Sus scrofa: one gene and its partner. The main gene of each other region encodes a partner of the protein of the gene in region 2 in a complex. Links are inferred from orthologs where the notes say so. Each region holds a gene or a part of one and is shown on either strand. Other genes may lie near its edges.

Region 1 (4,858 bases), on a different chromosome or scaffold from region 2:
AAAAGGCAAAAAAAAAAAAAAAAAAGAGTCTATGATCTTCTTTTCCTCAGTTTACTCATCTCCACAACAAAGGGGGTGAGCCACACAGTGGTCCAAGTCTATTTTCCGGGACGCAGGGTAAATTGAGTGGGTTAATGGTCAGGAGCTCAGGTTTAGTAGACTCACTGTCATCTCTGTGTCTGTGAAGTGAAGACAGTTTCAGGGCTTTCGTTGGCACTGAAGGAGATTAGAGATAAAATTCAGGACAGTGCCTGGTACATGGTAATGTTGGGGAAATGGCTTGGATCGTTGGTGCCAGAAAATGGGACACATGAACACGGGGCGATCTCGACAAGGCAGAAGGCCGCTGGGACTCAAAAAGCACAGGCTTAGAAGAAAAGCCCTCCCTATTTATCCCTAGGCAGGTGGTGGACCTGTCCTCTTCCCATTGGTCAGGTCAGGGCACACATTCTTCTCTGTTGGCTCATTTGAAACAAATTGTTACTGGGAGAAGAGGGAAAGAGGAGGGGTGTCCCAGGAGGGCATTTCAGCCAAAAACAGAGCAAAATGGAGTCACCAAGGTTTCCTTTGATAGAAAAGACATTATGTTACTTTCCACAGTAACACCTCAAAAACCAGATACTACCAGATAACACTTTGCTGCTGGTGCAATTATTTTTATTTCTTCCGAAATTATCCACTTCACTTATTGGTGCTCCTTTGCTCTGTGAAGCCCTGTTAGCAGGCCTCTCACTTTCTTAATAACGTCCATCTGCTTCCTCCGGTACTGTCCGTGGGGCAGGTGAGTGCTTTTAGGACTTCAGCTACCCACGCACCAGTGCCTCTTGCTCCTCTCCCACTCCTGGGTTTCTGCAAACCCCCAGCCCTTCCTGCATCTATTAATTCACTTACTTTCTCTGATTTAATTACAGACGCAAATTCTCATGATTCCACTTATAACTTTTTGATTTTACACTGGTGAGAAAACAGCAATACATTCGGTGGAAACCGGACTTCGAATTTTGAATTCTGATCTTTTCCCAGCTGGGGGTATGCGCTAGGATACATTCCTGGTGCTGGACAGAGGCGGGGAACTGCAGCTCCCCCTCAGTCATGCAATCATCAGGGTAAACAACCGGACACTTACAACCATTCCGTACCAACAACCACTCTGCTTTTCACTTTCAATACAGTATTCCACCAATTACATGACATAGTCAATGCTTTATCATAAAATAGGCTTCGAGTTAGATGATTTTGTCCAACTGCAGAGCGAGTGTAGGGTAAACTAGGCTAAGCTATGTACAGGGGGCAAGGTGCATTCAATGCACCTTGGCCTCTGAATGAAACCCCATGGACCAGTACAGAGAAATCACCAGCCTACCGCCAGGTGAGGCATTGCTTTCCTTGCCAGCCCAAACACGTGGGCCCTCGGCTGCCGAGGCCACGCCCCTTCCGCCGGAAGCTCCGCCTTCCAGGCGCAAAGCCTGCTGGACGCCCGAGCGCGTCCAATGAGCGTCCAGGAGGGCGTGATGGGCAAGCGCGGCGAGTTTGGCGGCGTCCGGTTCCCCGCAGCCTGAGCTCGTTCCCCGAGCCTGGGCGCTCTGGGCTTTCAGCGTGGCCTCCGCGGCGCTTCCCCGGATCCCTACGCCCGCCGTCCCCGTCCTCGTCCCCCCCAGGCCGGCCGGTGGCGCGGTCCGGGGCGGGGCCTGCGGCGGCTGAGGGGCGCGAGCAGGTGAGATGCGCGCCGGGACGAGGATTGCGGTCGCTGTAGTGGGCTTGGCTGGGAACCGGTTCGGGGCCCGGGCGAGGGCAGGGAGCTCCGTAGGGCCCGCGTGCGCCGCCTGGCCTGGGGTCTGTGACCACCGCCGCCGCCGGCCTGGCGCCCTCAGCGGCGTTCCCAGGGAGGGCGCCTTCCGCAAGGACTTAGCCTGGGCAGGGGTGGACAGACGGACACCCAGCCCAGGCAGGCCTGCTCCGGACCCTGGCAGAGTCCCACCCTCCCGCAGGAGCCCCCCTGCCCACAGCCCGCCGGGCTCCCCAGTCCTCTCCCGGGCCGCGCACGCAGGTGCACTTGCCGCGCCCAGCTAGGAACGGACAGTGGGCAGAGTGCCTTCCCCACCGCACACGCCGCTGGCTGCAGGGTTTTCACACTGACCCTGAGAGGGACAGACAGACACTTCCATCTGGCCTGCCCCCTACAAGTGGCTGGCCCCAGAGTGTGCCCACGTCCCTCACTGGCTCACCTGCAGCCTAGGTCAGCCTCACCCTCTTCTCCCACCGAAATCTAAGGTTGGCCGATTTTCGTCTCCTGCGGCCTCATGGTTTACTCCAGACTCCCTTCCATCTCTGCCTCCACAATTGAGGGCTCTGCTTGCTCGTGACAATCTCCCATCCTACCCAAGCTGAGGCTTTTCATCCATCCCGGCAGCTTAGAGTTTCCACCTGAGGATTGCGGTCCCCTGGCCTGAGATGAAAGGGGAGGCCTGGGGGCTTCCCGTGACCAGGGCAGGTGGGACCTGGCCCTGACATTTCCTTTTGCAGGAACTGCAGCTTCATCATGGACCCGGAGTGCTCCCGGCTCCTCCCGGCTCTCTGCGCCGTCCTGGCAGACCCCCGGCAGCCTGTGGCAGATGATACTTGCTTGGAGAAGCTGCTGGACTGGTTTAAAACAATAACTGAAGCAGGTGAGGGTGAGGCTGCCACTGTTGACTTTCCCTAGAGGCTAGAGGGGGTAGGGCTGCCCTCTTCTGTCTCTCTGGTGGCATTCTGTCACATCTTGAAGATTCCTCCTGGATTTGGGGAACGGCAAGCTGAGCTTGAGGGGGTGATGGGGACAGCTTGAGCTGCAGGCCTCCCGTTGTTCAGGCCGTGCTCCGTGGCTGCTGAGGACACAGACCAGCTTATTCTGTTGTTAGCATTGCGTTTTTCTGTTCTAAAAATCGGTTTTTCTTTCTAATTATGCAATACATATTTTTAAAATACAACTTGAGCAGCACAGAGGAATAAAGAGAAAAATGAAACCACTCTGAACCCTTTTATTTCCATCCAGGCTTTTTCTTGACACGTCATAAAGAGGTAGTTTTCTATAAAAACGAGATCATACCATATACATACAGACTTTCTCTCCTTCTGTCCTAGTGCGTGTTTTCCCACGGACGCACTGGTGTTATTGACTGTTATTTGCTCTATGAATAGACCTTAATATTATAATTAGTTCACCATCGTTTGATGTTTGTGTTTCTGATGTGTCATCATTATAAATAACGGGAGTTCTCTTGTGGTGCAGTGGGTTAAGGATCTGGCATTGTCACTGCAGCAGCTTGGGTCACTGCTCTGGTGTGGGTTTGACCCCCAAGGAACCTCCATACTGTTCTCCATAGTGGCTGCACCAGTTTACATTCCCACCATCAGGATAGAGGGTTCCTTTTTCTCCACACCCTCTCCCGCATTTGTTATTTGTAGACTTCTTAATGATTAAAAAGTATTTCTGAATAGCTTTATTTGTGATATAATTTCCATACCATGGAATTGACCCATTTATTATCTTTTTTTTTTTTTTTTTTTCTTTTGACACTACACCTGTGGCATATTGAAGCTTCTGGGCTAGGGGTTGAATCAGAGCTGCAGCTGTGACCCATGCAGTTTGTGCCAACACCAGATCCTTGAGGCACTGAGTGAGGTCAGGGATTGAACCTGTATCCTCATGGACACTTGTCAGGTTCTAGCTGAGCCACAATGGGAACTCCAGAATTGACCCATTTGAAGTGGTATTTATTTATTTATTTATTTTGCCTTTTTTTTGCTATTTCTTGGGCCGCTCCCACAGCATATGGAGGTTCCCTGGGTAGGGGTCGAATCGGAGCTGCAGCCATCGGCCTAGGCCAGAGCCACAGCAACGCAGGATCCGAGCCGCGTCTGTAACCTACACCACAGCTCACGGCAACGCCAGATCCTTAACCCACTGAGCAAGGGCAGGGACCGAACCCGCAGCCTCATGGTTCCTAGTCGGATTCGTTAACCACTGCGCCACGACGGGAACTCCTAAAGTGGTTTTTAGAAGTCCCCTGGTGGTTAAGGATCCAAGCATTGTCACTGCTGTGACTTGGGTTCGATCCCTGGTCCAGGAACTTCTGCATGCCATGGGCGCGGCCAAAAAAGTGAGTATTCGTAAATTCATTGCTGGCCTACACCATGGCCGTAGCAATGCAGGATCTGAGCTGTGTCTGTGACCTGCACCACAGCTCACAGTGACGCTGGATCCTTAACCCACTGAGCGAGGCCAGGGATTGAAACCACATCTTCATGGATACTAGTCAGGTTCCTTCCCACTGTGCCACATTGGTAACTCCCACTTTCATCTTCTTAAAGGAGACCTGGTATCCCTTAGCCGGTCATCTGTCCCTCCTCGCCTAGCCTGTGTTTGTTTTCCTCACTATTCTCCCTGATGAAAAGAGAATAGTCTTCCTTAGTTCAAGTTTAGGTCATTAAAACCGGTTATGTTTTTGCTAATCTGAATCGTTTTTGAGAGAGAAGTGAAAATCTTATACTTAAGATTTTGGGTCGACAGTTTTTCTTTGAAATTCTATCTCCCCCCTTATATATTTTGAAGTTAGATGAGGTATGTGCAAGCTTAGACTGTCATATCTTCCAGGATTTGTGTCTTTGAGCAATGACTTGCTCGAGCCATGAGGAAAGATTTTTACTTTAAAGTCAGTTTTGTCTGATCGCACTCTTGCTGCCGCAGCTTTTTAAAAATTAGTGTTTGCCAACTATCTTGTTGCCCTTTCCTCTGGCCTTCTGTGCCGTCAGGCTTCATCGTTTCTTTCTTTTACCCTTTACTCTTGTTTAGCCTTTGATTCTTAGTGTAATCTGAGCG
Region 2 (4,923 bases):
TGAGGCTCAGATTTTTTTTTCTGTTATAAGTGGGAATACTATCACCTAGATCAAAGGATGAAATGGGACAGTAAATAGCAAGCACCAGCACAGTGGCTAGCACACAATAAGTGCTCCATAAAAGGTAGCAATCATTCTTTTTAACTCCAAAGGTTGTTGCTTCTTGTAATATTTCAACTTCACCCTTTAATCTATTCTCAACAATATTCACGGACTTTGACAATCCTTCAGAAATGATTTATTCAACTACTATTTAGGAGCATCACACAATGGGGGTGTGGGAATATGAAGAGTCTGTAAGAAGTAGGACAGACATAAGACCAATGATTACAAGTGCTATCAAAGGAAGTTTGCCATTGAAACATATAAAAGGGGTACCTAATTCAAGGAAACACTAAAGAAGTGCTATTTAAACACAGACCTGAAACATGAAGAAATGAGCCAGGCAAAAAGTGTTGGAGGCAATGGAACACACTTAAAGTCCCAGAGGCAAAAGAGAGCAGGCGGACTTCAAGGAACTGAAAGACATACAATACAAACGGAACAAGGAGGTCAAGAGAGGAGAGCTAGACATTAGCCTGGAGAAGTCAGCAGGGCCAGAATCTACAGGATCAAGCAAGTCAAGTCAAGAATTTTAAGGAGTTCCCTTGTGGCTCAGCAGGTTAAGGATCCAGCATTGACAATGCTGTGGCTTGGGTCTGATCCCTGGCCTAGGAACTTCTGTATGCCGCAAGTGCGGCCAAAAAACCCCTCCCAAACCAAAAATAAAAAATAAAAACCCCAAAACCACAAAACTCTAAAACAGAACAACAAAAAAATAATTTTAAGACTATCCTAAGGGCAAAGGAAGCTACCAAAGGGTTTTAAAGGAACACTGCAATTTAAAACAACTTCTGGGCATGGAGTAGGGAATGGATTTGAGGGTGGGAGACCAGTTAGAAGGTTTTGTTGAATTTCAAGTGTCAAGTGAAAAGAGCCCCTACAAAGGCTGTATTGGTGGTACTGGAGAGAAACAGACCAGTTTAAGAACTGCAGAATCACCAAGATATGGTCATAGATTGTACGTGGGAAGGGTGTTTGGGGAAGTCATAATCTCCAAAACAAGAATGTACTCTATAAAAAATATTTCTGTGTTTCATGATAGAAATACAAAACATGGTTTATCACATATTCAGGAAGCAGTACACAAAGTTAAAAATTTTTAGGCCCTAGGAAAATTTATTCCAACTCTATGGGAGGCATGATACAAAAAAGAAGCCTGCTTACTGAGTGTCAGTGTTCTTGAAACACTTTGCTGTGTCAATAGATATTCTCACAGAATCATCAACTACCTTATTCCTCTAAGGCATTTTATGATTCTTGAAAGAAAAATAGTTTCTCTTTCCCCCTTTTTTATCTTCTTTAAATGAGGTAAGCAGGAGGATTTCATAAGCAAACCAAAGCATATGTAAACTAAACCCTAACTCTCTGATACCCTCAGCAAATGAGCTATTATGGAAAAGAACTGTTTTCCATTTTCCTGCCTCTGCACCGAGCATACATACCAAATGTGATTTATCCTTTATCAAGAAAACATGGTCTTTATTTCAAGCACTCAGGTGCAAAGCTCTTTTGCTTCTAAAGCTGAACCCTCTTCAAGGAAAGCCCTAGCCTACTCACCTTGCTTAACTGTTAAAGAGTCTCCTTTCCATAGAGCTGTCTCCCACTCCCCCAACCCCCATCATCCTCTAAATCCCTAAACACTGAACATGCTTCCATTTACCATGAAAACAGTGAAATATCATTTATTACTTTTGTATCTTCTTCATTGCACACTTCTTTTGGATATGGGTGGTGACTTTCAATTTGGCATTTTTACATGTCTTGAAAACTGACCCAGAAGCAAATTGATATCCTCAAGGTTTACTGATCTGTGTCCTTCTCCTTACCTAAACAGCTTTAGTGTTGAATCTACTTCTATTTCTCTGACTCCTCAGAAAACAGCTGAAACTCTGAAGAGCACAGGCCCTTAGCGTGTGTGTGCAGGCACCAGCCTGGGCTGCACACTTTGGAAAAGCATGCTCAAACAATTAAGAAAATGCACATTTTATTTTTCTACTAAAATTACAGGAAAGTAAAGATTTACAACACTTGGCTGCAGGAATGCGAATTTTAAGAGGTTGAGAAACAGCATCTCACACCTGCTTTTCTACTAATACCATACAGTTGGAATAAACTAGTTAAAGTAGCTAAATCTGTGTGCACACAGAGTAACGTGGCTCAAAATAAAGGCCTGAGCAGCCTCCCTACAAGCCAAGTGTTTTGAGTTTTGTGATGCAGAGAATTTTCCAGGTATCCTGGCAGGCTCCATCTAATCTTGGCTCATACAGTCCCTACAGCCCTAGACTGAATGCCTTGACACTTAAACCATATTATACAGGGTTTAAAACTTAAATCTTCCACGATCATACCATACCATGATCTCGTCCTTCTCTGAATATCAAAGACAGTTAGGAGTCTATAACAGAAAACTTAAGTGATTACTCTGCCCAATATTTTCTAAACTCTGCTCATATGTAACCAAAGCCTTTTCAAAAACTGTAAGAAACGCTAATCAAACGCCAATCGCGTGGAAAGAAGTTAACCAATTATAAAACTCACATGGCAGCTGTGAAATCAGTCAAACCTAGTTCATAAAGCCCAACCTCAGTTCGTGTGTGAAGTAAGGTGACAGAGTCAATCTCTTATCTAACCACAGGAGCCGCCAAGGGATAAATAAGATCTGGGGGTCGGGGGTGGGAGGTGGGATTCAAACTCAACCACAAGGAGCAGCTTTCCTTGGTTCACCCCACTTTCTAAGTCTCTAACTGCCACCCCTCTTCCGCGACGGTTCCCACCACAAGTTGGAAACGACGAAGTCCAAAAGGATATGGCATCACCTTTGCCCTCTGACCTAGGAGCAGAGACTCACCAATTTCATATTGGACTTTAGGTTGTTCAATATCAGTCACTGGACTCCTCAGAACCAGAAAGCCTCTTCCGGTTCAATCTCCGCCACCCGCCAGCCTCGAGCATCGCGGGACATGCAGTCTTTCTTCCCTACGCCCCCTTCCGGATGCATCATGGGAAATGTAGTCCTGTCTTCTTGCATCATGGGAACTGTGGTCATCTTTCCTTTTTCTCTCTTTCCTCCTTCCTTCGGCTCAAATTCTTCCCCGCCGCCAAATCATTCTCCCTCTCCATCCCAGCATGATATCATGTCCCCTGTCTGGGCCCAGAGCCCACGGTATTCTGGGATGTGTAGTCCCTACGACTCTGGCGCCCCTTTCCCCTCCTCCCTGTGGGAAGGCGAATGGCGCAGGTCTTGCCGGGAGCTGTAGTCCCCCAGGGCCTCCGGGCGCCGAGTCCCGCGCTTTTACTCGAGGGAGTAAGAAACTACAACTCCCAGGGCCGCCCGGCGGCAGCAGGTGGGAGCGGGGCTGTTGATATCAATATGGCGGTTGTCAGCCAGACAAAGACAGTCAGTCTGATGTGATTGAGACAAGGGAGGTTTTCAGGGGGAGACTGGGAGATAGGGGCCTCCCCTCCCCCTTCTCCTCTTCCTGCGCCGGCCTCAACCCCTCCCCAGTCCCCTCCCGACGGGCGCCCCACGCGGAAGACACCCCTCCCCCTCCCGCTTTCCCCTCCTCCCTACCTCAGCCCTTCGTACTGGGACGTTGGGGAGGGGGCTGTGCCGGGCGGAGAGAACTCAGCAAGGATTCTGAGGTGAGTCGAGCGATTTGGAAGGCGGGCTCCCTCAAGTCTCTTTCTTCACTTCTTTCTCTTCACTTTTTTTCTTTTTTCTTTTTGGAGGGGTTTGGGAGAGAAAGTGAGTGGGCCGGGGGTGGGTCTCTTAGGCGGCCCGACTGAGAGGAGGGAGGAAGCGTGGGGCTTCCGAGGGGGGTGACCCGGACGCAGGGTCTGGGGTGGGGCAGTTTGTGGGGGGCGAAAATGGAAAGGCGTCGGCTGCTCCCTAACTCTTTCCTCCTGGTTACCTCCTTGGTGGGCGGAAGGTTTGAATCCTGGAGGTGGGGTCTCTTGTTTGGAGTTTGGGAAACTGTGAGGGGAATTTGAGGTGTGGGTTTGTTTGGGGTGCAGAACTGTATTTGAAACTGGGTGACGTGTACTTGGGTGATGTGTTAGCCTTGAATAAATGTCTCTAGAGAGGAAGTTCGGGAGACGGAGTCGGAGCTTTTAGCTGGGCCTGGGCGGAGAAGCGTGCGCGAGGTGCGGGTCCTGGACCTCTGGGCTGGCGCCGCGGCGCGGGGTGGCCGTGGGGAGCAAGTCGTTTGTGTCCCATCGCCCGCTCACACTCCTTCTCCCATCCTCCCAGGGACACATCCCAACCCCAAACTCAGGGTAGGAGCACTGTAGACGTGAGATGCTGTGTGGATGGCTTTTTGCATCCCGAAGTCGGTAGCTAGGTGGGAAAGGAAAAGTGTTCTTAATATTTTATTCCGGAACCGTGTTTTGGTTACACTGTTGGGGCTACTTTGAAACGAGTCCTCCACCCACCGTTACCCCGAAACAGTAGGTGGAGGGATCTCGTTGCCGTCTTCGTGTTCAGTAGATTAAACACTAGTTAACATTCGGGGGCGTGGGGCGGGGGTCGAGAGTGCTGGTATGTGTACGCGTCTCTTTCTGGGTGTCAACTGAAGACACAGAATAACTGTTGTATATCCTGAGATAGGGCGATTTATTTTCGTAGTAGGAGAAACTGTTGGAAATTATTGGGGGTCCGGGGCGGGGGTGGGGGGAATCGCCGAAAGGCGCTGCTTGTATTTTTCCTCTACCCCACCCTGTTCTGTCTCGCATTTGTTTGAAACCTGGTGTGGAAAAGACGGGAAACATTGGGTGAGTGAGGGGGAGAATGCAGTTAGCATTAAAGATACTATACCATGTAAA

Evidence for each region.
Region 1: the proteins of INTS9 (region 2) and BRAT1 are in contact, whole or in part, in a cryo-EM structure (PDB 8UIB), measured with the Homo sapiens proteins. The link is inferred for Sus scrofa from reciprocal best matches to the Homo sapiens genes INTS9 and BRAT1. Residues at the interface, in NP_060720.2 of Homo sapiens: Gly276, Met277, Gly279, Glu280, Cys282, Ser283, Asn284, Ala286, Leu287, Arg290, Asn291, Tyr315, Asp317, Ser318, Ala319, Gly320, Ser483, His484; in NP_689956.2 of Homo sapiens: Ala406, Pro407, Cys416, Pro460, Gln506, Lys507, Arg508, Cys510, His511, Pro512, Arg517, Glu545, Leu549, Gln552, Asp556, Pro557.

Annotation. Positions count from the first base shown.
Region 1 is NC_010445.4:1,904,167-1,909,024, forward strand, and holds the start of BRAT1 (BRCA1-associated ATM activator 1), read left to right. Parts: upstream 1-1,481; 5' UTR 1,482-1,714; intron 1,715-2,523; 5' UTR 2,524-2,539; coding exon 2,540-2,666; intron 2,667-4,858. UniProt on the Homo sapiens protein: Component of a multiprotein complex required for the assembly of the RNA endonuclease module of the integrator complex.
Region 2 is NC_010456.5:12,689,177-12,694,099, forward strand, and holds the start of INTS9 (integrator complex subunit 9), read right to left. Parts: upstream 3,265-4,923; 5' UTR 2,960-3,264; coding exon 2,951-2,959; intron 519-2,950; exon of another isoform or gene 431-518; coding exon of another isoform or gene 422-430; intron 1-421. UniProt on the Homo sapiens protein: Component of the integrator complex, a multiprotein complex that terminates RNA polymerase II (Pol II) transcription in the promoter-proximal region of genes.